2 linked regions of the Oreochromis niloticus genome follow. The protein of the gene in region 1 interacts with the protein of each later gene in a biochemical or structural test. Links are inferred from orthologs where the notes say so. Each region holds a gene or a part of one and is shown on either strand. Other genes may lie near its edges. The genes, in order: nid1a and fbln1.

Evidence for each region.
Region 2: the proteins of nid1a (region 1) and fbln1 form a complex in vitro, tested with the Homo sapiens proteins (3 studies listed by BioGRID). The link is inferred for Oreochromis niloticus from reciprocal best matches to the Homo sapiens genes NID1 and FBLN1.

Annotation. Positions count from the first base shown.
Region 1 is NC_031978.2:23,795,193-23,811,925, reverse strand, and holds the start of nid1a (nidogen-1), read left to right. Parts: upstream 1-9,036; 5' UTR 9,037-9,123; coding exon 9,124-9,327; intron 9,328-10,909; coding exon 10,910-11,212; intron 11,213-11,289; coding exon 11,290-11,516; intron 11,517-11,591; coding exon 11,592-11,881; intron 11,882-12,104; coding exon 12,105-12,245; intron 12,246-12,449; coding exon 12,450-12,701; intron 12,702-12,983; coding exon 12,984-13,184; intron 13,185-13,298; coding exon 13,299-13,532; intron 13,533-13,728; coding exon 13,729-13,866; intron 13,867-14,553; coding exon 14,554-14,682; intron 14,683-15,044; coding exon 15,045-15,182; intron 15,183-16,392; coding exon 16,393-16,512; intron 16,513-16,733. Other genes in the region: gpr137ba (G protein-coupled receptor 137Ba), read right to left, coding at 1-84, 655-877, 983-1,032, 2,274-2,654. UniProt on the Homo sapiens protein: Sulfated glycoprotein widely distributed in basement membranes and tightly associated with laminin. Also binds to collagen IV and perlecan. It probably has a role in cell-extracellular matrix interactions.
Region 2 is NC_031972.2:46,199,147-46,215,629, reverse strand, and holds the start of fbln1 (fibulin-1), read right to left. Parts: upstream 9,279-16,483; 5' UTR 9,047-9,278; coding exon 8,992-9,046; intron 5,673-8,991; coding exon 5,564-5,672; intron 3,949-5,563; coding exon 3,819-3,948; intron 432-3,818; coding exon 290-431; intron 1-289. Other genes in the region: transcription intermediary factor 1-alpha, read right to left, coding at 12,982-13,254, 13,349-13,504, 13,908-13,982, 16,255-16,384. UniProt on the Homo sapiens protein: Incorporated into fibronectin-containing matrix fibers. May play a role in cell adhesion and migration along protein fibers within the extracellular matrix (ECM).

The sequences.
Region 1 (16,733 bases):
CACCACCAGATTGTAGCAGGCCCTGGATGCGTACAGAAGGATGACGATGGCTCCTATAACCGTCACCTGGCACACTGATGTCCCCTTCAGTTTAAAAGAAACAAAACAGAATGACTCGTGAATTCATATTAGGCTGAAAATAAGACGTAAACTGGTGAGACGTCAAGAAATGGCTTAAAGAAAGTGATCTAGATCATCACTAAAAATATTATGTGCTTCCCCTTTCCACGCTTCACCACTCCACTAAGTTTCATGAAACTGTGCTACTTGGTTTTTTGCATCAGCATGCTCAAAACTTGGAAAACAGACCTCCTTCATGCACTGGAGGAATTTCTGTATCTTTAATTAAGGTGTGATTGGGACAGTTGGGACACACAAGAAGCATGTCCACACTATAACGAACCTTAAGCTTTCGTACGCACCGCAGCACAATTTGTCACGCACAAGAACGATGCCCAGTTGCTAGGGAACGATCTCTACGTGGCAAGCACGAATTATGTGCAGAAGTGACTCTTCACACGAGGGTGCACAATACCTTTTGATGTTAGTGACGCACCGGGTGTCAAATCAGCCGTAAGTGGCAGTGTTCAGGAAGTGTTCAGGAAGTCTACACCGCACCACTCCTGCCTGACTTTGAGTTGCAGGACATCTCACCTTGGACTCCAGGTAAATGTTGGCCAGCGACATCTTGGCGATCTTGTAAAGACACAAGGCCAGCGAGATGGCGCACAGGACGAAGAGCGTGTCGTTGATCGCGACCCTCACCAGCACAATGGTGTGGGCTTCTGCAGAGGACATCCTCACCAGCAGGGCGCACACCAAATTGACAACTAAAAACACCAGGCTGATGAACAGGAAGGTGAGATACAGTGGCAGCCTGGTGGTGAGGAAACAAAAACAGGCAAAGAGTTATTAACCCCAAAAATTGCTATTAAAAAGAAATAAAATAAAGAGTCTTCTTAAGTCCACCAGCTGGTCTTACCTGTACTTCAAAAGCTCCGGTGCATATTTGGACTTTGCCTTAAAAATAACCTGTGAAAAGGAAACAAACACAGTTTCATTCAAATGAGCGATGGCCTTGTGTCAGACTGCTTTCACTTCTCTGTTCTTGCTCTCCGAAACGCACAAGACACTCTGATTAAACAGGAACCTCAAGGCTGTAAAACGATTTAGAGCTGAACTTCGGATATGCAATGGTCACACAGCGCAGGGCCTCAGAAGCTTTGAGCCTCGCTTCTCGTTCGCAACTGTGACTCACATCAAGCGCAAGAGGATTTACGCTAAAAATAGGCTTCAGGCAGAGGCCAGAGGAGCTATTATTTAGTATCTGGATTATGTAAGCAGTTGAAGGAATGATTCACTGCATCCCACTTTTTCACCTGATGTGAATGGGAGTCTGTTGCACTGAGAGCAACAGGTAATATTCAGTGGACGACTTACTTCCTATATGAATCACTGTTACAGTGGCATGTCAAGCCTGGGGTCATGGCCTGTATCCTGACAATGCCACTCTCTAAAATTCAAAATCCTGAAAAATAAAAATAAAATAAATAAATTGAGCCATCCAGCCAGCCACAATGGGTGGGTGTATGGCTCTGAGTTCATGTGCATTCAAAGATGCTCTGCAGGCATGACAAATTAAGAAAATTATGACATGAGGTTTATGGACCAACATTATCAAAATGTGTTGAAACTGGCCAACTATTTCAATGCAAATGAATTTTATTTATATAGCACCAAATCACAACAACAGTCTCCTCAAGGTGCTTTAGAGTGTAAGGTAAAGTCCCAACAATAGTACTATGAAAACCCCAACAATCAGATGACCTCCTGTGAGCAAGCACCTGGCGACAGTGGGAAAGAAAAACTCCCTTTTAACAGGAAGAAACCTCCAACAGAATCAGGCTCACAGAGGGGCAGCGATCTGCCTAGACTGGCTGGGTGTTATACCTAGAGCGACCAGGTGGTCCACCTTTCTCCCCGTCCTCCCATCCATGACAGTAGTATACACAAAACAATCGCATACATCAGTGTTTTAAAGCAGCTCTCAGCATTTCCACATTATCCCACTCAAATCTACCCTTTGCCCCACATTTAGTTTGTTTGCTCGTTCATTATCACACTGTAAGTTGGATGTTGGACTAACTGGTTTATAAACCAGCCGGGGTGTGACACATTTTTTTTTTTTTTAGCCCAGACAGAGACTTCCCTCATTAATCAAACACTGTACACACGAAAAAGAAAAATAACGTGACAACATCTGAGCAACTCACCTGCGCAAAGTACAGGTTCATGAGGCAGAGTGTGAAGAACTGCAGGCAAACGGGGAAGCAATAGAGCAGCCAGAAGGGAAAGGGCCCCAGAGTGTTGGCTGTGATAAAGTTCTTGAAGTAGAAGGAGAAGAGCACGGTGCGCAGCGCCGACCACAGCAGGCACAGGAACAGGAACACAGTCTGATAGCTGAAGCGCTTGTGTCGGTACCGCAGGACCAGCCAGAGCTGGATGTAGATGAAGATGAAGAGGAGAGAGTAGAAGACGGTGTAGACCACCGTCAGGCCCAAAGTGACGTAGGGTGGCACGGCCGGGCTCAAAGTAGGCAGGGGCTGCGAGTCGTCCGACGCCCAGAGCCCCTTCTCCTCCGCCAGAGCCTCCATGACCTGCTCTCTGTGTCCGGGGTGGGAAGAGGGGGGTGATCACCGCCAGCTCCTGCGGCTTCACAGAGCCAGCTTGTCGGCTCTTGTCTCTCTCTCACGCCCGGCCGAAGAGAGAGATGGAAGCCAGGGCGAAAACAGGAGAAAGGGGGAGGAGAAAACAAGGCTGTCAAGACGAGCGAGGAGGGAAGAAACGCAGCAAGTCCAACTTCCTGCAGCCGAGCCGGAGAGCGAAGCACATGATCAGCGATGAGAATGAGCCGTTTGTCAGGAGAGAGAGCAGGAAGCCGCTCAGAGTTGCAAGCAGGAGCTCCGAGAGAGGACCAGCCTCCTCCAGCGCCCCCATCCGCTCCGTTCTGCGCACTCGTTTACGCTACGCTACGCATCAGCTGACGCACGTCGCCGTACCTTTAACCCCGTGGAGGGGTTTCCCACCGCAGCGCCGATCCCGGGAGAGTTTACATGTGTTTACCTTCAGTTCATCAAGATGAGTGAAATAAAGAGTATAATTAATCACGCAGGGGGGGCTGCCCTCCCGGTTCACACAGTTTAACGACAAAAGTCAGGATCTTTAATCAGCTTTTATTTTTCTTTCATTTTGACTTTTTGAAATTTATTTATTTATTTTTAACTCAGTTTAGTTTCAGTTCCTTTCCAGAGTGAAAAGTAACTAGTTTTTGATGTCTTATAATTTTTTAGTTTCAGTTTAGTTTTTAGTGTTTAAAAAATGTTTTTACTTCGGTTTTTATTAGTTTCAGCATTAGTTGTTTTCTTTATTGTATTCCTGTTATTGTATGGAGAGAATGTGTCAGGGTTAAGATTCAGGAAAATCTGCAAAGGTATTATACTGAAACAATGCAATGAACATGTCCGCCAAAGCCTCATCAGGTAAGTTCTGATAATAAATTTAACCAAATTAACAAATCTAAAACTGAAGCTTTATTTATTTATCTTATTTTATTCACATCTAGTTTTAGTTTTAGTTACTGTAATAACCTCATGTTTTGAACGACAACGTGTAAATGCCAGATCAACATTACGGTTTAACATTTTTATGAAGTTTAAAGATTTATTATACGTTAATTAATGAATTAATTATTCTTAATGAGATACATTTACATACAAAAAAGGAGGGAAATGTTATTTTTATTTAGCGTTTGGTACTTGTCCTCTTTACAAGACAGAGCCTCAGACTTTCGAGGTTATCTCATTTCAAAATACAAAAATGCATTTGTACATTTAATAGATTATTGCAGTCCAAAGGTCCTTACAGATGACTGATAAGCCAATCGTAAGACAGGGCAAAAATTACATTTACAAAAAGGACACAAGAATTGAATGAGGTCAATAAAGTAATGATTTTTTTCCTCTGATTGGCTGCAACTTGCAAACAGAAGGTTTGAACCGCAGGTACTGTGCTCACAGTCAGAGGTGTTTGCCTCTTTCAGGATAGCACTATAATGTGTCAGGTCACAGGACTTTCTAACATTAGCTTTGCCTCTTATTCACACTGAACTTCAAAAAGACTGGATTTAGAAACCTTACTGCCTGTAACTGGAATGAGCTCCAACAAATACAGAAATAAATAAACATGGAGCTACATTTTCTGATGTTACCAGAACATTTTAAAATGATCTATTTATGAATCTGAAATCATTATCATGCATATTTTTCCTCAACTATGTATAATGTGTCTTTCTATTTCTATGTGCTTTCTTTCTTGAGCTCAGTGGGACAACCTGGGTAAAAAAAGGTGTAATACTGATCATGATCTAGATCCCAGAGCAGAAAAGGCCTGTCTGAGCAGTTGAAACCTGAGGTTTTGACTCTCTGAGAAGGCACTGACGTCATTATTGTAGACTTTTTCCATGTTTCATATGAATATGCAGCACTGTAACAGTATGTTGATGACACAAAATAAGAAAAAAGTACGATAGGTTGACTTTATGGTATAAATACACTGTTTATATAGTTAAATTATCATAAAGAAACAGCCAACTTTGGCGAAATTCAGACTTTTAAATGGTCAACAAATGTTCGAACTAATCCTACAGAGGCGATCGTTTCCTGACTTTTAGTTCCTGTTATGAGTCATGATCCAAAAATACTGAATCCTACAGCTTTGATGAAGCAGATCGGTTCTTCATTTGACCCTTCCTGCCTGGAAAACACCCACATTTTTAGAACTTCACAGATACATTTTGCAATGTAGCTTTTCCATTTAAAAAAGTAAGTCCCATGGCTTTCATGATATCATCAGGATTATTTTCTGCCACATTTTAAGCTACATCCTGAGTTTCAGAAGAACTTATATACTTTTCATACATTGAATAGTCCACCTGGTCACAAATAAAACATTTTTTGTTTATTAAATTAAAATGAAATAAAATGTAACATTTCCCTGTAATTCCAACCACAAGTCACAGAATTCAGGTTATGACCCAATCGGTTATTTATCCAGTGTGCACAGAAATCTAAGGGACATTTGTTTGTTATGGTAAATATCCTAACAGCAAGGTTTTGGGTTCACAAGACCAGGGCATGTGAACATGAAGAATGTCAAGGATGGAGGTCACTGGGATCCATTAATCTTTTAGCACACGGGGACAGTGCCAGCCAGACACCAAACAGGATGCCATCAGCTACAGTACCTCCCCCTTGGCTGTGAAACCACAGGTTGGTACTCTCCTATATCAGAGATATGTGATTTTGTGTTTGGCCTGTGTAAATGCAAAGATAAATGCATATATTTTTACTTCAAAAATGCATAATTCAACCAGAGGCTTAATTACGGCATGTTTTAATTAGGCCAGGTCAGTGCAGTTTGTACAGAGTGCTGGGGTGCACTGTCCTGCTGTTGGGGGATGCCATTGCTCTGACATGGAGTGGGAGGTGTGGATGGATGTCTTAGTCCATTCCAAAGTTTAGGTGGGTGGTAAGTGTCAAAGTAACATCTACATGAATGCCAGGACTCAAGGCATTTCCCAGCAGAACATTGCAGTAAACTGACCAGTCAGTGGTTTCACTGCTGTGGCTGTGTACTGTCAGTGTATACAGATAGCATAAAACCTCTTTGTACATGGTATATATCGGTTTCTTTGTTCACTCAGAAATACTTCAGCCTGGCTGCAGTCCTTCATATTGCCTGCATCTTTGGTTTCATCTGTAACAGTATTGGAGTGATAATGAAATAGCACTTCAGTCTGATTATCAGGCCACAGCGTCCTGTTATAGACACATCAAACACCAGCCTGCTGGTTCCTAGGCAACTTGGTCAGAGAAAGCAGACTCGCTCAGACAGTAACAAGTCAGAGCTAATGGCATCACCGGCTCTGATGTAAATATCCCAACAAGGGTCTATTGTGTCTCACGATTCAAACGCAGAGAGATCCGTTTTATTTCCTACAAACACTGTACTGTTATGAATTACATTCTCTTCAGCCCATTTATAACAATATAAATCTGTGTTGAGGAAATACAAGTGCACTCTGTTATTTAAATATGGTGTATGCATATTAATTTTGAAGCCATGTGTGTGTCACACACATCACCAGTGTGTGAATGTGTGTGTGAATGGGTGGATGACTGGATATGTAAAGCGCTTTGGGGTCCTTAGGGACTGTTAAGGCGCTATATAAATACAGGCCATTTACCATTTACCATTTACCATGTGAATCTGTGAGGTAGGTATTCAGAAACCACAAATGGAAATCCCTCAAAATGACCACGAGGTGGCGCCTTTTAGCTGTAGAGAAACAGAAAGACATCGGGGGATACTGTGTTGCTGATTTTGGAACCACAGCATGTATGGTGCTGTGAAAAAGTATTTGCTCTCTTCCTGATTTCTTCTTTCTTGCATATTTGACACACTTAAATGTTTCAGATCATCAAACAAATTGTAATATTACCCAAAGATAACCTGAGTAAATACAAAATGCATTTTTAAAACAAAGATTTCATTCATGGGGCTACTGGGGGGGGGGCTACTTGGCCCTGTGTGAAAATGTAATTTCCCCCACCTTGACCCTGTCCGTCAGACTGAAGTAGACTAAAAGATCTCAACATCTGAGATCCCTTTGGAAGCATAATTTCTAAGGTTTTGGGACTTCAGTGAAGCATGGTAAGAGCCATTATCTACAAAAACCTTGGAACAGTCTTAAACATTCCCAGGAAAGGCCAGCCTATCAAAATTATTCCGATAACCCTTTAATGATTCATTCAGGATGTTACAGGCGATAAGGGGAAGTAACAAAAAGTGTCCAGGTCGGAAAAAGGAGACGAGGAGGCAAAAGGGTTACATTAAAGAGTTTTATTAAAGTTTCTATCAAATACTCGACTAAAAGAGATGGACAAGCCGCTATCACCATTTAAAGAAACAAAACAAAACTCAAGCGTTGGTCAGTAAACTGAAAAGTAACTAAAAAGGATTAGTTGCCAAACACACTCCTCTCCACCAAGAAGGAGCAGAACACACACACACAACTCACTGCAACCACTCACATGGCACTCTGGCCCAGAGCTCACCTTTCTCTGGGCTTAAATACCTTTAATTGCTGATGTGAATGAGCTGTACAAAAGAAAAAGGTGGCACCTAAGGCAGGAGAGCTGGTAGGACACGCCCACACAGGCAACTGCAGGAGGAGGCCCTGCTAGGGCCGTAACAAGGAGGTTACAAAAGAACCTAGAACAACATCTAAAGAACTGCAGGTCTGTTTCACTTGTGTCAATTAAGCTCAGAGTTCATAAATCAACAAGTCCACCTTTGACTGGATTTTTTTTTAAAAGGGGGAGTTTTTTGAGTGGCCTAGTCAAAGTCTGGACTTACATCAGATTGAGATGCTTTGGCGTGACCTTAAACAGGCCGTTCATACTCAAAAACCCTCCATTGTGACTGAATTAAAACAACTCTGTAAAGAAGAGTGGCTCAAAATCTTCCACAGTGACATGAAAGACTCATTGCCAGTTATCAAAAATGCTTGATTTCAGTTTTTGCTGCCAAAAGTGGCCAAATCAGTTGTTAGGTTTAAGGGGCAATTACTTTTTGTCATGGGGCCAGGTAGGTTTTTCCCTTAATAAATGAAATAATCATTTTAATCATTTGTATTTCCTTGGGTTGCCTTTGTCTAAATGTTTGATGATCTGAAGCATTTAAGTGTGTCAAATATACAGAGGGGAAAATACTTTGTAAATGATAAATTGTTACTACTTGTTAGGTCAAATTTACAAAGAAAACCTAGCAGCTCAGAGGAACAGAAGAAATATTTCATTGTGCAGCGTTAGAGTCATTTACACAGTCTCAGCAGGTTTGAAGAAGAAGTTAATGTTGGGTGTTTTATCACAACATTAGGCAGCTTCATGAATCACTGTCTTGTTTAAAGAAATCTCATCCTGGTGGTATTTATGAGAAAACCGCAGAAACATTGTCTAAACATATCATATACTGTGGAAATCATTCTAGGTCTTGGAGGTAATTTGTCATTAAAGATAGGCAGGGATAGCTCAGTAGGTAGAGTGTCTGCCCCATGATCGGAAGGTCGGGGGTTCGACCCCACTGAACGGCTACCCTGAGGTACCCCTGAGCAAGGTACCGTCCCTACACACTGCTCCCCGGGCGCTGCACTGGTGGCTGCCCACTGCTTCACTAGGTGAATGGGTTAAATGCAGAGGAGTAATTTCCCTTCGGGGACTAACACAACACACTTTACACTTTAAGTGCTACAGCGGTGGGTGAGTCTGCATTTTGGAATGATGGTAAACATTTGCAAAAAGCCTTTGTGGGGGACCGTGAATACCAACTGTCAGAGCACTGTGGACCAAAGGGTGGACGGTTCACTAAGCATCTCAAAAACAGCTCCAAGTTGAAGCATATTACTGTACCGGCATGCCTCTCATTATCCCAGCTGGAGATGAGTCTGATAGCCTCAGCACATGCCTCAGATGATTAGTGTATGGTACAGTGCTTTGTGATATTGTCCTTTACATAATGTTTCAGTCAAATCGGGCATGGGGCTCTGTTGCCGGTTACTGGTCCATACTCTGATCGCCCGCTGGCCTGTGTCCAAACCTGCAAATACAGCTTCAGTGTTGTCCCTCCGGAGACAGTAGCCCTTCTATTAAAAGCACTTATAATCTGCACACAACTGTCTGTTTTCTACTGTATTGGCAACACTGCAATAATCTGTTTGAAGAATTTTAAATAAAGGATCTGCAAATGACCTTAGCTCTTCTCAGAGTTTAATTTGACTCAATCAAAGCGCCCCAAAGCATGCCATCATTAAAAAACAACAACAACAACAGCACCATACCATTTGTTTCAGGAACATTAATGAAAGCAAAGCATGGGCTACTTCTCACTGAAACTCCACTGTGACTGAGTTAGTGACCGCCCACAACTTCTTCTACAACCACTGAGTTCGATGTATCACTCGCGCCTTTAACGCAGGACTGCTTAGCTCCCTCTGAAAGACGGACCATGGGTTGGAAGGAGCAAGGCTGGATCGCTTGTCTGAGTTTTCTCGGATTTGTGGTCTCGGTACAGAGCATAAGTCGAAACGAGCTTTTTCCTTTCGGTCCGAGCGCAAGAGACCAGTTACTGGAGCCTGGGAATGATCAGACGTATCGACTGGATCTGAGCAAACCGATGTTGTTTTATGATGGCACTTTCCGCAGCATCTTTGTAAGTTAACTCTTAACCTTTTTTCCCAAGATGATTATTATTATTAACATTAATACTCTTGCGTTGGCTTTACTGGTCACCGACCGTCCGTCGTTCTTGCGCAATTGCGCGTTAGCCAGAAATGGAGTAAGTTTAAACAGTTCCTAGAAGTTGCAAAACGGAGCTCCAGCAGGGTATCACTTTTTCCTTGTCTGTGGAGTATTTGTAAATACTGGATTTCTTATCGCAGATGCGGCTGTATCATGTCGAAAGCATGTGTTCACGCATTTCTTTGTTTCCCTCGAGGTTATCATTTTACTGCCGACACCAAATACCAAACCTTATTTTGCAATCCATCCCAAAAACACCCAGTGAAGAGACAGAGAACTTTACAAAGTGGTCACTGGGAGGTTTATTTCTGGAATAAATCATGTAAAACTGTATGATTTACAGTAGAATATTAGAATATTAACTGTTGGCCTGTAGCGCTTTTAAAAAGAAGCCGCACCATTGTGTGGAACGGACAAGCAACCCTTTATTCCCACAGTTCTGGTTTCAAAGAAAAGTGCTACATCTCTGTTTTAGTGCTGCGTGTGGAAACTGTGCCATGACGCAGTAATTACACTTACAGATGCATTCGTCAAAGCTTTGCTGATGTTTTATGCATAAAGATGTTTCTACCAAGCATTCAAGCTCTTAAAATGAAGGTTTCTTCTTTAGTAAAGCTTACCATTCATTCCACAGTAGCTTGTCCCGTCTCAACCCAGTGGAGGCTGTCTCTGCACAATCTCCATTTAAGGAGATTGTGCAGAGACAATGATTAACATGATTAACACACGAGCCTGAAGCTTAAATGAAACACATGAATGCAGTGTTCACCAATTAGTCTGCTGACTGCCTCCAGGTTAACCTTCCATTACCCATCACAAACATATTTCTGCGCTGCAGTCAAGATGCCCTCAAGAGTTTTGTTTTCATCTGTGAGACGGTCTGCCCTGAACTGTCTCTGCCCTGGGGTGGGAGGGTGATTCTTCTCACTTCATGAGTATGATCCATATTTTACTGAGCACTTACATGTTAACCACTAACCTTAGAGCTCTTTATCTGCAGCACCTCTGTGAATAGGATCACTGATCATTTTCCCAGATCTACCCTCCATTTTGGCAGGAAGTTTCTGTAATGACATTTAGTGCGCAATCTTTAGGCTCTCTGGGGCTACTCATCGGGGGCAAGGACAGGAAACCTTTTGTTTTTTCCTTTGGTCAGGAAGTGAAGGAGCCCCCATGTCCAGTGTGTGTCTGGGCGTGTTTTCTTGACACGAGCGCTGCTTTCTTTCTTTTTACGAGCCTCGCATGTGTTCCCACTGCAAGTGTGTAAAGACTGTGTTAAATGGCATCTTGTTTGTTCATTAGCACAGTAGTGGGACATAGCTGCTGACTCAAATCATTAGTGTAATGAAGATCAAAGTGGGTCAGATTGAACTGGGATTGTATCCCCTGTGAAACAGTTCAAGTTGTGTCAAGAATAAAACTGTGTCAAGAATAGCAGGAATTTCATTTCAGTTTCTGTCTTCTAGATTAATGATTTTCGCTTTTCGTTTCAGATTAATACCAATGGGTTTGTCGCCACAAAAGAGCCAGAAAGCGAGCTGACGTATCTTGGCAAAATGCCCCCAAATTTTGGCATGATTGCAGCTCTGCAAGGAGACCTGCACACGAGCGATGGCGTGGGGAAAGTTTTCTTCCGAGAGGACTCCAGTCCTGATATTCTACGCCGCGCTGCTGAGCACATCAACAGGGCTTTCCCTGAAGACGACGAAATCAATCCCACCCATGCTGTGGTGGTCACCTGGGTTGATGTCACCACCCATGGACTTGAGAGCAGAGGAGATAGCGGCATCAAGAAGGTGAGTGTCACATAGTTATTCAAGTAATCTAGAGTGGACGTGGTCACTGACAGAGTCTATAATGTTTTGTTCCTCAGAGAAACACCTTCCAGCTGGTTATTGCATCTCTGGAGACCACCTCATACGCTATTGTCCTCTATCCAAGGGATGGGATAAAGTTTTCCTCCATGCTTGTGGGAGACACTAATGTAATCATGCATGCTGGTTTCAGTAAGGGTTTGGTCCAGGGTTTCTTCGGTTCCAGCAAGGGACCACACTACCACACCACCAATGATAACGAGCAGTCCGTGAGGGCTTTAGCAGAGTAAGTCAGACGTTAACAATGACGGTTCTTGAAGACATGTTTTCTGCCCAGAAACTTAAACTTTTCCTCCCACAGGGAGACGAACTCTGGCCTGAGGGGTGTATGGGTGTACGAGATTGGGACTTCTCCCTATTTTTCCAACGTGGCTCCAGGTGAGGTCCCTGAGCTGCCCACTGAGGCTCCACCACAAGAAGACGCTGACGCTTATGAGGAGTCCAGCGCTGCAAGGAGGCCGGTGTACACTGATGGACAGGTGGTAGCCTTCTCTCCTTATCTGCAGGAACAGACTGAAATCCACCCAGTTCAGTTCCAACCACAGAACCGGGAGGTGGTGGAGGTGGATGATCCAATTATAAATGTAGATGGTGAGTTTATGGTGTTTTAATCCAACGAGTGTTTGTTAGTGAGCCGTTCACCCACACTCGCTGATGGTAGCAAGCTTGTTTGCAGCTCTGCTTCCTGAGCCATGTCTATCGCACTGTATTTTGAGAGTGAGAGCGTGTCGTATATAAATGTTTATTGTGCCTGTCTTATCAGCTGTTCCAGCCATGGTATTCTTACTCTTCCTACCGTTTCCCATGTTTTCAGTGTTCTCGTACAACCTTGGCAGCTGTGCAAACAACAGAAATAAATGCTCCAAGTTTGGTGAATGCAGGGACTACGCCAACGGATACTGCTGCCATTGCATCTCTGGCTTCTATGGCAACGGGATACAGTGTGTGGCAGAAGGTACATGCAGAAAAGCGTTTAAATATGACATTTTTTTATTAGCTGGTAGATGTGGAAACATAAGAAGAAATCTTAGCTGTCTTGTTGCAGTCTCACATGCAGTTCTTGGATAAAATTCATTTTAAGTGAAGTGGGTTTGCATGTCTCTGTGAGTAACTTCGATGGGGTGGGTGTGTTTTTGTTTTCTTTTGGGGGGGGTTGCAGGAAAGCCACAGAGGGTGAACGGCAAAGTACACGGAAGAGTGTTTGTGGGCAGGTCTCCTTCTCCGGTGGAGTTCGCCAACATCGACCTCCACTCTTACATTGTTGTGAATGAGGGTCGAGCCTACGTCGCCATCAGTGACCTCCCGGAGACCGTTGGGCCCTCGCTGGAGCCCCTGGTGTCAATTAGTGGTGCGATTGGGTGGGCGTTTGCTCTGGAGCACCCGGGCTTCAAGAACGGCTTCAGTATCATCGGTGAGTAAGAACAACGCTGCAATGAAGATATTTCATGATGTGACATTCAGTAGCTTGTCTTGTAGTTTGTACAGGGTTTAAAAAAAAAACCTAGTGGGAAGCATAAATTTCTGTAAACAAATGTCAGCGCTGCTGCAAACACAGCTTGCATACAGCTGCAGTCTTCCGCACTGTCTCCCTGAATTCCACTTGCATTACCTCAGCTGTAACAGAAAGCCACGAGACAAAGTTCATCCCAGGGCAAAGTCTTAGAGTTAACATCCTCCTCTCTGGCCTCTGCAGGGGGGGAGTTCACTCGGCAGGCTGAGGTGACCTTTATGCCAGGGAATGAAAAGCTGATCATCAGGCAAGAGTTTAAAGGCATCGATGAGCACGACCACCTGATTGTGAGCACCAACCTGGACGGCCAGGTGGCCGAGGTGCCTCTTGGCTCCACCATAAAGCTCGACCCGTATTCTGAGATCTACCAGTACAACAACAACTGTGAGACATCTGGAACAGAGAATCAATATTTCACCACCTTTTCTGATTTTGAACGAGACATAAAAGAATTGCAAAAAAGCTGAGTGTTTGTAACGTGTCCATCTCACCTTTCAGTGATCACCTCGTCGTCCACTCGGGACTACGTAGTGACTCTGCCGGATGGATCCAGGGAAACCAGGAGATATCAGTGGCGTGAGACCATCTCCTTCAACGGCTGCTATCATAGCGAGACTTTGAGAGACATGAAACCTACACAGATGCTAAGCATGGACCACATTTTTGCCATTTACGATCCTGGACAACGACTCATCCGGTTCGCCCTGACCAGCAAGATCGGGGACATCAATGGTGAGAAGACTTTTTCGTTTTCCTGCCTTTGGTTTGAGCTCACTTCCTTCCTCAGGAACAACATGTCCTGACAGAGAGATTATTTTGACCAGACGGGCTTTTTGTTGCTATTGTTAAATGGTAAAAATAGGTATGTTTTGCTTCAAAAAACCAAAACAAAACCTGTTTAGAAATAAAATTCACCTTTCCTTCTCAGGAGGGCAGCCGGAGGAGAACCCATGCTTAACCGGAAGACACGGATGTGACACGAATGCTGTTTGCAAAGTCGGAGAGGGAGCAACGTTCACTTGCCAATGTGCTGCTGGTTTCAGCGGCGATGGACGCACATGTTATGGTAAGAACTGCATATTTAATCATGTAACAAAGAGCAGTTAGAGTTTATTTTCTGCTTTTGGAAAAATCTAACTGTTTCCATATCTTTCAAACTCATCGTTAAAATCAACCGATTTTCTAAAGCCTTCCTTCCTGACTAGGGAACTGCACAATCATACAATTAGCAGGGGGAGTCCCATAGGATAAACAAAGCATTTCCGACTCAGAGACCAGGTTAACAGAGCTAGTTCAAGCTCTATACAACCGAATCTTTTGCATTAGAGACCAAACAGGAAGAGGAAGGAAGAATTTCAGACAGATGCTATCATAAAAGTATTAGGAACTCTAATCAGGCTCTTTTCTTTGATCCCAAAACATTTCATAATGAAAAACTTATCTGGCAAAACCAGACTTCTCTAACTCTGACCCAATCCAAGACTTTTTAAATCAAGTCATTTTGTTTATATGACTCAACGTCACACGTAAAGATTCCCAGGATTTTACGTACATAAAAACAGGAAAAACGCACTTGGACAGAAAGGCGATCTGTCCAGGATGTACCCCGCCTCTCATCCTATGACAGCTGGGATACGCTCCAGGCTCTTCTGTGACTCTGAATTAGATAAGCAAAAGACAGTAGACAGATGAAAAAAAAATGTTATGAGTTTAGCATATCATCACTATTTGTTTCTTTATTTCTTATTATCAGACAACGATGAGTGCAGAGAGGATCCTCAGCGCTGCGGCCCTAACGCTATCTGCAACAACCAGCCCGGGACCTTCCGGTGCGAGTGCGAAGAGGGGTATCAGTTCGGTAGTGACCAGAGAACCTGCATTAGTAAGTGGTTTTTGTGTGCTGTAAAGTGCTATTACATATCAGGCAAACCTCACCTCGTTCTAGGGAGGTAGAGGTGCAAACATAACCTGTAATAAAATTCATTATAGTATGAAAAAGTCTGTGGTGATTATTAAACCGTGTAGCAGCAGCAGCACGGTGGCTGTAAAGCATTTTCTGGCATGCCCCCAAAGATCCAACTTGAATTTCAGTTAAATAAATATTAAACTGTATTCATTCGTCTTAATTTCACGCCATATTTTTCACCCTGTTCCCCAACTTAAGCAGTTCTATCCAAAACCAGTCAACACATTATTTTTCTCACGCTGATAGCATTTCCCAGAATTTGTCCTGCTTCTCCTCAGAGGTTGATCGACCCGTGGACCACTGTGAGGCAGGCACCCATACCTGCTCACCCCACGCTCAGTGCAGCTACACCGGAGGCTCGTCCTATGTCTGCACCTGCCTACAAGGGTTCACGGGAGACGGTAGAAGCTGCCAAGGTACTGCAGACAAACGCACTGCTCTCAGAATGTGCGCAAGAAAAATAGACAAAGTAGGCTTATTTGTAGTTTTTAGACAGTGCAACATAAATAACATTTTTAGCATTTAATATCACAACTTGGCTTAGTTTTTTCATTTGTTTGTTTGTTTGTGGGTTTTCTTTTTTGCATGTTAGTCCACCAACCTGCAATAAGCAATGTTGCATGTTTTCTATTATTAAATTAGTTTTAAGGTAATTTTACAAACAAAAAAAGACTTAAAGGTTGTTGGCTGCATGTGAAAATTTGCAGTTTTCCCTGTTCCTTACATTTATAAAATAAAATTCAACAATTAAATTAAATAGCAGGAGCTTCTAAAGCAGGGGTGTGAAACATAAGGCCCATGGACCAGAATCAGCCCGGCAAAAACTCCACTCCGGAGTTTTAAAAACACAGTTTTAACTTTTCTTACTTTAACTTCACTTTATTTATATTTATTTAAGTTTTACAGCTTCCCCCCACCCCACTTCATACTACAGCAAAGTCATCTATAGATACACAATTAAATGATGGAAATTTCCTGTTTTTTTACTATCTACTACAGAAATTTATGGTTTTGGTTTTTTTACAGTGAGTTCACAGAAAAGGGCTTTGTTTTCTGAATGAAACTTTGAATTTTATAACTACAGGACAGTCTGGGCAACGATTTTACACATTTGTCATGTAATTTCACTGGTCCGGCGCACTTAAAATCAAAGCAGCTTTAAGTGTGACCGGTCAAAAAAGAGGGACATGAAGAAAAATCTGCTGAAAGTAAGGACTACATTCAGTGTGTCCAAAATCACTTGATTCACCAAATGCATCCTTAGGAATTATTTGAATTGTTACACCATCTGCTCAGGACTGTGGGCGGTGAGGTTGGTTGCATAATACACCAACAGAGACCAAAGAGTGAAACATTAAAAACAGATGGGAATTTCATGTGTAGAGGTCCCGAGTCTGGGTGTAGGGTTTTTTGGAGGGGTTTTTCTGGTCTGGGTCCTTCCATTCTTTCCACATGTTTGCTTGATTTTCTGCTATTTGAGGAAAGTTTAAGTCAAAGGTCCACCCAAGATCTGCTGCATGGATCTCCACTCATAAAATGACAGAGAAAGTGTTCATATTTGATTTTTTTCTGCTCTCTCATCCTCCATCCATCCATCTCGCCATCATCTCATCCATCTGCCTGAAGACATAGACGAGTGTCAGCAAAGCAGGTGTCACTCAGACGCCGTGTGTTACAACACTGAGGGATCCTTTACCTGCCAGTGCAGACCGGGTTACAGCGGAGACGGTTTCCAGTGCCTTCCTGGTAGGTGAACTCTCTGAATTGCACCGCTTTAAACATAGCGTTATTTGTTAGCTGGCTTGGCTGCACATTCATTCTGGGGGTTGAAAATAAAGCCTGTGTAGTTACATGTTTGTTTTGGAGGTCCTTCACTGGAGCTCAGACAGCCGAGTAATAGTTTTTTGTTTGATGTAGTTTCGCAAAATGGGTCATTTTCATTCACAGCCTTGTAGCCGTTTAGGCCG
Region 2 (16,483 bases), on another chromosome or scaffold:
GTCCGATTTCCACATTAATGTTCAGTAGCTGAACCTAAGCTGCTATATAATGAGCTAAGAAAATGAACATGTAATAACCACAAGCGTCCACTAGGGGGCGGTGTAGTCGTATGTTTAAAACCAGCAGTCCTCCTATTTTTACTTCTAATGATTTTCATGTTGATTTGCAGAGGTTTTCACTTACTTTAATCCACTTTTTTATGCCCACTCTACTTTAAATGACTTATTTTGTTGTTTTATTAAAAAATAAAAAGAAATAGCCTCCTGCAGGATTGCATTTTTTACCCACGTTCTCTTTGATGCGCTGTGGCTCCTTCCACACAGCAGGCCCGGGACACCAGATTGCACTGATGGCCAACAGATAGGTTGTGGTCACAGGGTAGGCCAAGCTCATGGGCTGTTTTCCCCAGAGTACAACAGTCACAGCACATCTATCGAAAACAGCATACAACACAGTATTAGAGAACTTTCAGCATAGACATGAAAAATTTGCAAATAATTGAAAGAAAACAAAACAGAGATCTTTTCAGGATATTGTGTACCAGCAGAGGTAAAACAAAAACGAAGAAGAGCAGACAGAGTGTTGGTTAAAGAAGTGAGACAGCCTTTTAAACTGACAGCTGAGAATAAGCTGCTTTAGACAGACAGCCAAGCTCTCAATCAACCAGACAGACAGAAAAAGAGCTTTTTTGAGACAATACGCCAACTGGCAGGCTTCAGACGGGACCAGAAAGGCAGTCAGTCAGTTAGAAAAAGAGAACACAGAGGGAGACAGTGATGAGATGACATCATCCCCCCTCTCCCTAATGCACGCTCAGTCAATCATTATGACAGCCCGGTAATGTCAGTTATGGACAAGAAAGGTGGGGAGTGTGACAGATGGGCATGTTTTGGCAATTTGGTTATGCAGCTGGAATCTGACTGTGAGCGTGGTGGTGCACACGTGCAGCGTTTGTAGTGACTGCAAGACTGAACACAGACAAAGGAGAGCAATTGTAAGAGTTGTGTACCAGTAGTGGCTGACTGCTACTCTCTGTGTTTGTTTGTGTGTGCTTGTTTATGTGTGGGTATATGCCTGTGTGGCCTTGACTGCTAGAAAATTTTTTGTTCTTAGGACTCTTTTAGTGTAAACCACCCACAACAAGCACACAGACACACTCCTGAACAGTTCGCACAAACAACTGCTTTATATCTTATCTTTGTCCAGCTTTTTCTTGCTTCTCCAATGCTCGCTTAGAGTAAATGGCCTTTTTATTAGTTTCATATGTGAAACATCAATACGGCATTCTACTATCATCACTGCAAATCTTACAAAACACAATAATGCAGTTTCTAAATTGAAAACATAAAACCTTATCCAGACAGCACATTGAAGCAAATCCCCTTTTCTTCTCTCTGACTGACTAGAGAAAGTACAACATTATTTTCACAGATATTGTCATTATTTATCATTTAAACGTACATTTTGTTCTGTCCATCTTGCATCAGCATGCTGTCTTTTTCCTTGAGAACACAGATTATTTGAAGAAGCTCGGAGTTATGGAATAAGCCACCCACAGTCCTGATTTCTTTCTTGTCAATCTGACGTCCTCAATATCAAGTAAATGATTTTATATCCACCACTGTAGCCAGTGTCTGTGGAGTTTTGCACATTTGAGACATATTTTCACACAGGAACTATGTAAGCACCAACACATTTTAAGCATATTTGAAAATGTGCATATTTTTCTCAAGCTTCTCATGTTCCTTCTTCCCGATGTTGGGAAGGTCTACAGCCATCTTTCTCTTCGTGTCCACCGCTACTATGTCCGGTTGGTTAGTCATCACCAGTTTGTCAATGCATTTCTCAACCATCCTTGGGGACGTGTCCTATTTTGACCTCGGGACTTCCAGGACATAATCGGCACAGATGTTCCTGTATACTATGCCAGCCACTTGGTTCATATGTGCTGCCAGATGCTCATAGAGTTACACTTACTTTCTTTAGCCTGTAAGTGTGACTCATGTCAGGGCCTGGTACTGTCTAACGCTTCATGCTTGAGACTCTTTCTTGGATGTCTGCCTCTGTGATGGTTACTGGATCCTGTTCAGGGAAGTTGCTGCGGTCTTCTCTTAGCTCCACTAGCCACTGAGCATTGTTGTTATGTGTTGCAACCCCGTGGTGGTGTTATTCTCATATTGTTTTCGTGCTACTAAAGATGCTCCAGATTTTAAGCATTTTAATTTCACAAAAAGGGTGTGGCAGGAGAAACTGTGTAAAATAACTTGAAAGCACTGTAGAGAAAATGATTTTTGTAAGTGCATCATCATAGCATGCTGCCAGCCATGCCAGCAGCAGCAGAGAGAGGAACACAGAGCAGCTGATGTTTGTCAGCATAGAAGAGGTTCTGGTAAATATGGGAAGCAATCAGCTTTGGTTATGTGTTAAGGATGGCTTGTTTTCCCTCATCAGAGCTACACTGCTAATTTTATTTTAAAATAAAAACATCATGTAAATAGGTACTCCTATGCAGAACACAGAAGGCTTTATATTCCTTTAAAATGTGCCTGAGATCAGGCCATCTCGGTCTCTTTATGGATGTCCAACCACAAAGAATATGTATCTCAACTGAAATTAAACATAAAATACTCATCACAGGTATTTGCAATTCCACTGTTCCATTTTATACAGCACTTTTGAGTAGGTCAAAGCTTTAGTACGGTTGTAGCATGCAGTGGGGCTGTGTGGGGCTACACCTTTAAAAGCTTCTAAGCAGTATATAGTAGATCACAACTGATGGATAGAAATTCTAGACCAAATTCTTTATTAAATAATTTATCAAAATACTTCTGAAAGACATAAAACCAGTTAAAGGGAACTAATGAAGGTTAGAAAAAGAAAGCATTTAAATCTGTAATCAAAGATGGAAGCAGATCTTACACGAGCCTAGATTTGTGTAAAAGTAAAGATTTTCATGCTAGTTATAAAGCTCACTAATAATGAGTTTATATTGGATTGTAACCCCATTAAAATTACTATTTATTTCAATTAATTTAAAACAAATGGGAACGTTTCTCTATAATGTTGATGTTTGGTGCAATAGCTATGCCTAATCATTTTTACTGTTTTGGTCCTTTTGTTTTTAATGGTTGACTTTAGCGGTGGTTTTGATTTTCCTTAAGGAGACACCCTCATTACTCATCGAGTTACGCCACTGACCAGCCAATCGGTGACATACAGTCTGTTGATGTCATATTTTTGGATTGCTCAGATGGCTACCTATTCCAGAGGAATAGGTACTAAAAAAGTCCTGGTACCAGGTACTTCCATCTAACGGAAAACCCTGCAAACCGTGGCGAGCCGACCTCAGTAGCTACTAATGGAAAAGGGGCTTAAAATTACAAGAAAGTCTGGCTTCTTGGAAGCAGAACATAAGGAAACCAAGGGTGATTCAAGATTCTTGCCAAAAACACTGTATATACTGTGTATATAGTACATATAGAATGGAAAATAAAGGCAAGAGTTTGCCTGAGTTTGGTTGAGAAGCATTTCAAATCTAAAAGGTGCTTGGATATGCGCTGGTGAAATATTCCACAGTCACAGTTTAATTTATAATCTAGCAACAAGTTTCATTCCTCCCTACAGTGACATGCCTCATCCTGCTGCACTACACACACACACACACACACACACATAGAGAGATATACAACACTGCTCTCATCAATCACTTGCCATAATCATCGTCCAACAAAGTGGTTAAAGACGTTTTTTGGTGATTTACTTTTCTGTTTTGTAATTTCTACTAACAAAACTCTCATATACACTCATACAAACGCACCTTTGTAGTCTTGGTGTCGCAGGTGTTGGTGAATAAAGAATCGCAGGCCCCCTGGTCTTTGGCAGTGTTGATACCATTGGTGCACATTTTATCCTCGAGCACTGTTACACAACACTGCTCCTGCACTATCCTGTCAGCAAGAAAAAACACAAAACACAGGTGGTGCATTTACTCTCTGCTCCATCGATAACTGGCTCATGGCAAAGCAAATCTGTCTTAAAAGTGCAGCTCATTAAAATCGGCCCGAGGCGAGCCTGACGGGGATCTCATGTCACACTGAAAACTGATGAATGACTGGGCTGAGTAAGTCTAGAATGAGCTCAGCGGAGGACACTCCGAATGTATTGTGTTTGCAATGCTGACAGCTCTCTGAGGACTCTGTTCAGATTGTTTAAGACCCAAGTTAAACCAAAGATTTCAGTCCCAAGCTGCACATTTGTCCAAAATTATCTAAATCACTAAAACAAACCTCATCCAACATTCACACCCTACAAAAACAACAACAACAAAAAAAAGCAGAACAGCAGGGGCCCTAACTGGCTGACTAACATTTGCCAGTATCTGTAGTTTATTTGCAGCCACAATGACATCACCGGGACAGAATCAGTTCACCATTTCTTAAGAATTTGCTGACACAGTTAGGATTTGAGAAATAGCCATAACCATAAAATGAGTAACATCTTGAGACAGGATGTATTGCAATTGACCTTCACCTCTGAGATTCCCCTAGGGATTAGCAAAACACGAATCTTCTGCAAGGATCATTTAAAAAATGACAATAGCTGTTTAATTGTGAAAAGCAGTACCGGGAAGAAGCCAGCCCAATCTGACAAAAGAGCGTTATCATAAAAATATGTTTTACTAAATGTTTCTGTTCAGATCAGATTTCCTTGTATTGTCTAACTGTCTGCCCAATCAGTTAAGGGAGCGGAGGGGAGGTTGACTGTTCCTCCCTGGTCTGGATCTCTGTCTCCCTGCAGTTTTACAAGACAAAAAAACATAACAAACCAAGTTTTTTTTATCAACTCTTACCAGAAACCTCTTTCCACATAAACCACTCGAGATCTGAAAGTCACAACAAGGTACACGCCTCCTCTGCAGAACCTTTTAAGGGCACAGTCGTGTGCTCCTGTTTTCCTTTTACTGTTTTTCTCCTGTTTTTTTTTTTCTTTCTTCTTACGTTGGTGTCTGAAGTAATCGCTCAGATTTCCTGTTATTCCCTCCCTCTATGTTGGATTTCACCTCTAAGGTATTTCCTGGGTTTTGAAACAGCCCCTCTTCTGACCCCCCTCACCTTTTTCCACCCCTAAATATTACCCTGCTACCCCCACAAATCCCTGCCCCTTTTCCTCTCCACTCCTCACACTATAATTTAGACAAATTTGGGATCACTTACAGTGGCAAATGTGTTTGCCATCAGTTTGGCTTATAGGCCCTGAACCTGTGGCAGCACACCTTCTATGGTTACCAGCAGACGTGTTATTATCCCATCACTATTAGCGCTTCCTGCTCTCACGTGAAGTGAATAATGTGCCTAGAGATTTATGGGAGTAAGGTAAAGCGATCTCATATTAAGGGCATTTAGACATTTCCTTAATATCCAGCACATGCCAAATCACTTGGGCCCAATACAGTGGATAGAAAATATGATTTTGACAAAGAAATGCAGCATTTAACGGCTTGGAAGTCTATAAACGACCCCACTTAAACCTAACAGAGCAAAGTAGCAGACAGCACCGGCTTACCTGCATGTGGTTGACTCAGAAATAAGGGGCAGGGATGCACAGTCTTCATGATCGGTGCCATGCTTTTGCCCGTTTTTACAGCAGTCCTCCATTGAGATTTGTTCTGCTCCTAATAAAAACAACACTGTTTTTACCTTTGCATGTGCAAACAGGTGAATCACAACACTCCATTTTCACATGTGTCATTGTCATAATAACTGCAGGCCCCACAATATAGTGCCGGCCACCTGCCTGCCTACACACACACACACACACACACACACACCAAGTGCCTAAACACACTGTGCCTCAAATATATATCAGATGGCAAACTTCTGAGCATCATTTGAGGGAAATGAGCAACATTTATCCGATAAGCATTTGTCTTTCAGCGAGACCAAACAGTTTTTATTAATTGAGCTATGATGATCTGTTTTTTTGTCTCTCTTTCCTAAACAAAAGACAATCCTGCTATTGTGACCCAAGACAAATTGTATAGCAAATAAACAAAATTCAGAGTCTGTTTGACGATATGAGAAAAGCCTTGAGAGATTTTTTTGTTTGTTTTTTGCCAAAGACAATGAATGATGGATATGTTTTTGCAGAACCACATGAGGCCTTTTGACTGGAGCGCGACCAACTCTGTGGTAATCTGGCTGTTTATTCACGTGGATTAGAGAGTTTGGAATGCTTCGACTCTCTAAACAATCAGCCGTAACAATTACATCAAGCACGTTCGTTTGCCTGTGGTTAGCGTGTGATATGCCAAACGTGAAATAGCTTTGGCAGATCCACGTCTTGGGCTTTTTTTCAGTTTTTTTGTTGCCTGTGTCTCAAACCAAGATCAGTCTACAAAATTGACATTAATCATCTTTATTTCCCCCCTGAGAGGAAAAAGAGAAAACAAATATTGAATTATCCAGAATAGTGATTGTGAAATACCTCAAACAGAACCATCTGCGTCTAGCAGGAGTAAGCAAGATCAGATAATAAGTTAGATTAGGCAGGTAGGGAGGGAGGACAAGTGTCTGGAATTGCAGTCCACAGTTTTATAGATTTGCTGCCCTCTCCCAGAGGTGCAGGAGGAATGTTTTATTATGACCATTAAATCAAACTAGTCAAGCTGAGGCGAAAGCGGGAATAGTTATTATCACAAACAGTCTGCACACTGGTAAACCTCGTGGAAACACAACACAAGAGTTGCTGTAAAGCTTAATTTCTCAGGTTCATCACAAGTTTCTATAAGTCCCACTTGAAATCTAGAACTAATATGAGGAGAAGCATAACAATGACACAAGAAAGAGTTCTTTAAAAAATGACACGTTTTGATTGTTGTCTGTTTCTTTAAGAAAGTAAGCGAGGTTACAGGGAAAAAAACTGTGGCCATTCCTACTACAGAAAGGAGGTTTAACCTGGCAGAAAGGAGTGAATATGGATATAGGATTTATTGGTAGACAGGCATATTAGCTGACTCACTACTGACTTCTGGAAGTCTGGCACATCCCAGTATCCTCTGGCCAATAAACCTTGTAGCAGCTGGATGAAATGAGATGACATTTTAAAAGCTTTTCACATGGGCCTACCAAGTAGGCTCCCCCAGCCTCTCTCTTTCTCTGTCTCTGTCTCTCGCTCACTGACTTAATTTGTTTTCTGAATGTGTAAGTAACACCAGGGTGTTCCAAAATAGCTAGAAAAAAAAACTGTGCCCACAAGAGGCTGAAAATATGGATGTTTATTAACATTAACGGATCCTATTTAAATGTGTGTACCGCTGTGTATATGTGTAATGTTTTGGTTTTTTGACCACTTCCAGTAACTGACACCATCTTGTCAAAACACATGATTTGTATTAGAACTGGAAAGGCATCCAAGAGGTACACTTCCAGAGTCCAACAAAATGAACTAATCCTAAACTCTTTCTCTTCGGGAGCTTAGTCAGTGCATTTTAAACGCCAGGAACAGTTGGTCACTTATTCTAAACTTCCCCCAGCGATCTGTTCTGGACTTTTCCCCTCACAGTAGCATTCTGCTGATAACTAACTCTAACCCACTAGGTATCACTGACTCATTCCTTTGCCACCGCTGTCTGCTGACTCGAAAACCTAAAATTGAAAGACCAGAAGTGCTTTAAAACTGCATGGCTTCTTGTCTTTTATCAAAAAAAAAAAAAGAAGAAGAAGAAGCAAACCAGGCACAGCTGTGCTCTGGTTTAGATACAGCCTGCCATAATTCTCAGTCTCCTCGGTGCATTGTCTGTCTGGAGAGGGCTAATTTCCATTTTGGATGATGTTGCTAGCTGTGAGGGCCATTCTGTCTTGGCAGAGCAGCACATGTCTTGTCTGCGTCTAGACGCCTCATGTAAACAAGGCTTAATGAGCCTACTCGTGGAGCCCCGCCTAGACAGAGGAGCTGGCCTCAGACAGACATCACAACGTAGAAGTGTGCATCTCTTTCATAGGCACCACTCAAAGCTTACATGTGGAAGCTTCTTCCAATCTTACTGATATATACAAAAGGCTGAAACAGAGGTCGAGCTTATCTATCTGGAACGCATATGGTTATGCAGTTGGTTGAGCTGATACCCAGCAGATCTGCAGAAAGACCTGCAACACAACCCCCTACAGAGAAGGCAGCTGAGAGAAAGGTCCCCCTGCTGACTGTGAAATTGCCCCAGTGGGCTTTTTAAGACACAGCTAGTCTTATGACTTGGTGACCCTGCTGTGAGGCTCAAGTATAAATCTCACCCTTCTGTCTAGGACCACCCTGCCCTGGTGAGATACTGGTTGCTCTTACAGAGCATCACAGCATACCAAGGCACTCAGCCTTTGACTTGCAGGCAGAGACCTCAGGCAGGGTGGACTCTTGCCTGACAACTGGTGTGAAACTACATTTTAACACTCTGGGGGGTGACATATCATCACTTCATGGAACAGAGTGATTCCAGTCCACGGTGTAAATAAATAAAACACAGTAGTGAGAGCGTTAAAGGTAGAAAAGGTTAACTGGAAAGTTGCTGTGGGTTTTGTTGATGCAGTGCACAAAAAGTTGGAAAATGGTTTAGGTGGCACTAATATCGTCACAGTGCTACTTATTGTACATTGTAAGTGGTAATAAAAAAGAAACAGAGGGAAAACAATGATTCTAAACAATAGTTTCAATCTTTTAATTTGAGATGTTCAAGCCTTAGCAATTTTAATAAAGACCTGCAACACTTTGAAGCACCCACCTTTGTAAACTTTGCTTTCATCACATGCCCCAACTAGCCTCCAGACAAATGCATCACTTCCCCAAGTATCACCCTTTAGCCTGTTATCTGTCTACTTCTTACTTTGAGTACTTTAAAGTGAAGCTGCCATGCAATATGCGCTATTGATCCAAATCACTGTCACATACACAGTCCCACTGCTTGGCTCACCTCGCAGCAGTGATACCCAGCTTCTCACGCTTACCTTGGCCAAGAAGAACTCCGAACAGAGAGCAGAGCAGCGCTACGCGCAGACCCATTGAAAAAGGTGAGACTCAAAGTATCAAAAACTGGAGAGAAACAGACGTGGACGAGGTGGACTTTCCGATGCTGGTTGTTCCGCGGGGATGTGTGAAGAAACTGCAGTGCTCCTTTAAAAAAAAGATGAAGAAGAAGAAGCTAGACTGGGAAAAGAAGTGGATTTGATGGAGCTGAGTCGCAGTTGCAGCTTGACTGAAGGAATGTCTAATTACGGCACCGCGAGGGGCGGGCTGAGGGCCACAGGCGCACACTTACTGCTTATCTTTTTTTCTTTTTTTTTGGCTTATTTCAAACCACATCGCAGTTAAAGTTTATGATTACAATATATAATTTACAGGTAGTATATTTTAGCAAGTGTACAAAAGAGCTGTCGTTTTAAAATATCTCCTATTGCAGATCCTTTTTTTTCCTTTTTTTTTTTGAGTGTCCTGAACAACATCTGAAAAACTGCCTCGGGAGATGGGACTCGCAGTCATCTTCGGGCTACTGTACCGTGAAGTGTGCGCGCACACATGGAAACTGCACTTCCATCAATGGCAGAGCAGAGTATTTCTGCCTGTGACTAATGACTGTAGTGATTACCCAACATCTGGAGCTGGTTTGGGGGTATTTTAAAAATGTGTTGTGGCTATATCCAGACTGTAAGCCTGGAAACCTTTTGGATTTCTCTGACGAAATAAGGGAAATAAAGAATAAATAAATATTTTCACTACCACTAACTGCTGTTATTCGCAATTATATATGAGTTTGGTGCACTTAAAGAGACAAAGACCTGGCTCTGTGACACCCCCTCCAACCCATCCCACCCTTAATATTGTATCTTCACAGCGGTGTCACGGGTCCCTGCAGTTCTACTATAAAGCTTAAATTTCTATAGTAATGTGAATGAATTCAATCTTCCCTGAGTGTGCCACATCTGTGCACTCAACATCAGTCAAAGTGATCACGAGCTGTGAAAAGTGGCTACATATAAACAAGCCACAGACGCATGCACTCACACACGTCTACCAGAACTGGCAAGGAGTGGAGAAATAATTGATATAGTGCTTTATAAACATTTTGTACCAACTAAGACCCTCTGCAAATTCAATCAGTCTACTGGCTCTGGGCATGGCGACAGAGAGAGATTAAATGATTTTCTAATCAAAGCCATATGGTTCCACCACCACCAGTCTAACCAACAAGAAACATCACCAAGGGCTTGATATAAGGACACCACAGGCGTATAAGAAAGGCCACAGGTATATGACTGTCATAAAAGGATAATTGCCCTTTTAAATGTGTAGTGCTTGATGAGCCGTGTCTTGATCTCTTTGTGCTTCCGTCCACTACAGTGTGTATTTTCTGCTGGTACTCTGACAATCTCTCTGTAAAAGTACATTTTAATACAGCACACTGGTGTTTTGAATGTTGTAGCCCATTTAATGGCATAAATAAATTGCAAATTCTTGGCAGTTCTCTTTCATACCACACCAGTTTTACAGAGGTGGGTAACTGGGGTAAGTTGTTAGGATGAAAAATCCACAGCTTCCTTTCTCAGTATATGTATCAAATTGCAATATTTCTAATATAATATTTTTGAAAATGGGCTTTATATTATAAACAAGCTTCTGGGGAAATTGTTTGAGCAGGTAATCCATCACAGAAAGGTTCTGTCTCTTTTTTATTTCCTCCTTTTCACTGCACCTGCATGGAAAATGGGAAATATTTTCGAATCAACCTGCACTTGGACACTACAGCACAGCAATTAGACCCTGCCACAAGTAAAAGCAGACATGGTGGGGTGGCTTTTGTAATGGATTACCAAATCATTTGGAAAAATAAGCAAAGTCTAGTATCAGCAAGACAGGAAAATACCTTAAAAGTTGCTATAAATCCTAAACAGTGACATCAAAAAGTATTCGGCCCCTTCCTGATCTCTTGGTGTTACTTTCTCACAGAATCATAAAAGTCCACAACGCGGGACTTTATTGTGTTCTCAACCTGTGGGTTAAGCCTCTACTAGCAGTGCATATGTAGTTAATGGAGTCCTCCATCAGCCAAGAATCTAGGGGGGGATTATCACAATAACAAAGGCAATTACTTTTTCACACAGTCCGTTATGTTTGGATAGATTTAATTACTTTAATAAAGTTACTTATTATTTAAAAGTTGCATTTTTTTTTCTCTCTCATTTGCGTGGGTTGTCTCTGGGTGCTCCGCCTTCCTCCTACTCACCAAAGACATGCAGTTAGTGGGGTTGGGTTAATTGGTGATTTCAAATTGCCCATAGGTGTGAATGTGAGTATGAATGGTTTTCTGTCTCTGTGTGTGTTAGTCCTCTGTCAGACTGTTGACCTGTCCAGGGTGTACCCCATCTTTTGCCCTGTGGCAGTTGGGAAAGGCTCCAGCTCCCTCCAGCAACCCTGATAAGGATTTGGTTTTTACTCCAGTTATTTTGAGCTATTGTTAAAATGTGTTTGATGATCTGAAACATGTAACAAATATGCGGGGAAAAGGGAGGGGGCAAGTACTTCCTCACACGATTGTCAAAAATAAATAAATTTTGTGCTCTTTAATATATTACTGTCTGCTGTACCTTTGGGTTAAGACTGTAGTACTACTATAGTAAAGCATATGTAGGTCCTGGAGTCCTCTATCAGCCAAAGATGTAGCAACTCCTTCTTAGACTTATCACAACAACAAAGGGCAAGCCTTTAGTGCTGACCTGTCCTAATCTTATCTAATAAGAGATAATATGCCATATAAGGAATGAAGAATGTCCAGCATGAAAGCCAGAACCCTGCCATGCTTCCAGTCCAGCTGGCTGGAGAACAGTCAGAGGGCAACTTCCCATGCCTTTCAGTCCACCAGAAACAACTAAGCCTCATTCCTTCGCTCCACCTCAAATCTACATTTGGGCTTTAACAAGTAAACGCAGCATGAGCTGACTTGCAAGCTAATAGGTGAAGGAAATTGGAGTGGCCAAGGTCGCATTCAAACAGTGTTAATCTTGTTGTTGGGGGTGTAGCGCAGCTCCTTTGAAGCTCCTTATAGCTGGTCTTGCCACGTCTATGTCAATCTGCAGAGGGTCACTAACACATCAAAGGCAGACTGAAATCTGCCCTGTGGGACCCAAAGGAGTTTGTAGAACAACATGAAACTCAATTAACATGCAGCTATCGAGCCAAAAAAGGTGTAGAACATTAAACCTTAGCTGGAGCTGTTACTCAATATATAAGGAATAATAGTTACTATACTTGTTCATTTATGCAAGTTGACCTGAATGCGTAAATGTTCTGACCTCTGGTGATGAGAAAACCAGTCTTTATGTCTTACATTTATAAGAAAGCTTTTTAAGTCAACATTATGACCCTGACGGATATAATCACACACATTGTTACATGGGCAGTGTCACCAGAATATATAATATAAAGAAGCCAGAATATACATAAAAAATGCTAAATAAAATTGCATTTTCCTTTACATTGTGAAAACTATAGATTTGGACTGTGTAAATAGAGCCTAACAAACCAGGGCAAACAGAAATATTCTGCACTGTGTGAAAGTATGCAATGTATTTGTCTTGAATTTTATTAGATTATTTTAATTTGCTATTAATGATCTGACTGTGAGGGGCCTTGAAACACAATTTAACATCAGAAACCTGAGAGTTTGTGATTACTATCATTTGATTACAGCAGTAGTAACAAAAGAACAACTAAAATGTCCTCTTCAGGTTTCAGTCAGAAGTAGAAATACTGCAAAACCTACGAGCTTTAATTCTGATTAGAACACAAAAAAGTATCATTTGACTTCTGAATTCACAATTCTTGTCATGCAATACCATTTAATCATTAAAAATAAAATGTATTTGGTAACTTGAAGGCAACATTTTTTAATAAAACGCTACACACCACACATTCTTTGTGCCGTCCGGCACATATCCAATTGGTTAGGAAAATTGGAGCTTTAATCCAATACCCTCTTCTCCACTGAGATAGCTTGGTGCATCCTGGGAATCTGAAAATGTGCGTTGGCGTTTTGCAAGTGGGACTATATTGTCAAGAGATTTGAGTTGAGAATCTTGACACTCGGGTGAAGCAGTCTGAATCATCTCTGGTTTGATTTCTGGAAAGGTCTGATCAGGGTAGATGAGCTTCAGATAATCTTCAAAGAGTTCTTTAAATCTCCTACATGTCACGGCAAGTTCAGTGTTACTCCGGCACTGAAGGAAGATAAAACGAAAAGGATGAACAGTTTAATAACAGATGTCAAGAACTGAATAATAGTTATTGTTGCAGAATATTTGTCTATGGTACCTCACTGCAGGCTACACAGTTTCCAAAGATGAGCCTGATGTCTAATACAAACTCTGCGGGGCTTTGATAGCACATACTCTGCTCAGCCTCTAGACGGTTTTTCACTGTGGAAAAACTCACTGGTCCCTTTATAGTCAGACTGTTATCAGCATGTACCTGTAGTATTTAGAAAGGAAATGATAACAGAACAATAACACATTGTTGGCATTTTAGTTTTTTCAAATCTGTGGTGTCCATCTACATGTAAACAGCGCGCACATGGGACTATGGAATTTTACCCTGTTTTGCCATGTAAAGGGTAAAATAAACAGCTATTTCAAGCCAAACCACCAGAATCACACCGACCCCTTAAGTCCAATTACGAAACACTTCAAGTTCTGGGCCTGCAATGAACTTACGGTTTATTTACAGTAAAGCTGCTCTGCCTCTGATTTCTAATTTCTGTCATCACTGATATATGTGGTGTATTACATACAATTAAAATTACAGTTACAGTAACTCCATCTGACAGTAATCCTGTTAATTTTTCCACTATAGTCAGTCATACTTTCAGACTCACCGAGAGAGATGCAGACTTGTGAAAGACTGAGTTGAGCTCACTGCAAAACAAGTACAGCAACAGCCTCTCACACTTCTGCAACACAAAAAATAAGCCTGAATTAATACATATCAGAACAACCAAATACATTTCTCCCATCTGTGGTTTGTCAAGCAGAATATTAAACTGGTAAGAGTCGTCTCTCAGGATCTCTCTTGACACCTTTCTGCTTTGTGTCAGCCCTTGCACTCTTACCAGTTCTTATCAGTTATTAAATGCATGATGCAATGTCAGGCATCTAGCCCTTCAGATACTAAGGCTACGTCCACACTAATGCGTTTTCGTTTGAAAACGCATCATTTTCTCTCCGTTTTGGCCTCCCGTCCACACTGAAACGGCGTTTTGCCCAAGGAAAAATGCAGCGTTTAGAAAACGCTCTCGAAAACGCATACATTTCAAAACGGAGCTGTCCCGTCGCAGTGTGGACGCTCGAAAACGCAGACTTTCTAAAACGATGACGCATTTTAGTCATGTGATGCAGTCATGTGACCAATTAAACAAAGATAGCGGAGTGCATTATACAGCAGTTGTTTTGATTGTTTTTTGACAGCCCTAAAAAGCATTAATATCAGTTTGTACATGGTCTAGATAGCTTTTCTCACCCGTTTTTGCGCATGCGCAGGACTGGAACGTAAGCGTTTTCAATGTGGACGCACAACTCTGTGAAAACGACTGAAAACGCTAGTGTGGACGCGGATCGTTTTCAGATGAAAACGCCATTTTCAAATCTATCCGGGCTAGTGTGGACGTAGCCTCAGTTTAACAAACCACTGTTTTAAAGCAAGTTTTACTATAAAAATAACAGCCTTGAAATCCTTTTGATGGTACACTGATTTGTAAAAGGGTGAATGACGTCTTTATTTCTACTCCCTGCCTCCAACGCCTGTTCTGGCAGTATGCTACTTGGAAGAGCAGGTGAAATCTCCTGGGAAAATGAACTGTGTAGCTGAAGACTGAGCCAGCAGACAAGACCCTACTGTGACAGCACAATACTTGGTTGCACGTAGGAGAAGGCAGTGCACTGCAGAAGCAAATGAGAATATTAGCTAACCTAACAGCTATCACGTACGGGTCGACTACACATTTACTTTTTCCAGCAAACATTTGCTTTATGCATGTTATAGATGTGTGTATATATATATATATGTATATATATATATATATATACATATATATATATATATATATATATATATATATATATGAACAGAACTTTTCTTGTCAAGATAACACACACAAAATGAGACAAGGAACTCCCTTCTAACCCAAGCTATTTAAATTTCAATTTTATTTATACAGCACAAATCACAACATGCCTCAGGGTGCTTTATATTGTAAGGTAGACCCTACAATAATAGAAAATCCCAACAATCCTATGACCCCTGTGGGCAAGTACTTTGGCGACAGTGGGAAGGAAAAACTCCCTTTTAACAGGAAGAAACCCCCAGCAGAACCAGGCTGGGGCAAGAGAAGAAAGACATGAAAAAAAAAAACATGCTGTGGAAGAAAGCCACTTGGCAGACTCTGTACTTCAACTTGATGGTTCATTTCCCAATTGAGTGACACTCCTGGTCAGGGAAAAGCAGATGAGCTGCACTATTTTACTATTTACAATTACTATCTTTTATTGGGTTTTGTACCCATGATTTACATGGGTACAAACATTTGTAATATGTTTGTAATTTGATATGTAATTTGATTTACATATCTTACATTTAGGAACATAAGTGCTGGTTACAAATTAAAGTAATGTCGTATAAACTAACAAGTTTTCTGCCTCCTACACAGTATAATCAAGTAACATCCCCGCATAAACCGATACCAGCATTTCTATAAATGTAAAGTTATCTGAAACGTGCTGAATGTGAGAATGAAAAGACAAAATTTGAACATTCAGACATTCGGCCTATATTAAGACAACATAGCTGGCAGATCAAACTGAGGTAAGGTGGGATGATCTATCTTACTGCAGAGAACGCAGCTGTATTTATGGTTTATATCTTATATAATGTAGTCATAATGATAATAGGTGATGCTCTGTTAATGAATATTTTTACCTGTGAAGCCTGGAATTAATCTGATGTTACCCAACTTCAATGGTATTTAACTGAGTTGAATTTTTTAAAAAAGATGCTGCTCACTGGTGTTTTACAAAACGGCTATAAATTTGAAAAATACATGACTTATCAGATTATGCTGAATTCTGAACTTAATTTGAATTACTTGGCATTGAAGTCATTTTGTTATTATAGTATTATCATTATTATAATTACATAACAGTAAATCATTTTTAAAAACAAGCACTGACTTGTTTGTCCACAGGGGAAAATGCTCCTTCAAAATCCATCTCCTTCTTTATTGTTTTGGCTTCAGGTTTGCAGACATACTCCATCTCAGGCAATAACAGGTCACAACAGAAAGTGCAAAACCATTCCCTGCTGAAAAAGAGACCATTTACACACTCAACACAACAGCCAGTAAGCAGTAACTCACGTCAACAAGTGCATAATGCTGCAGTCAGATGAAAATCTCACACC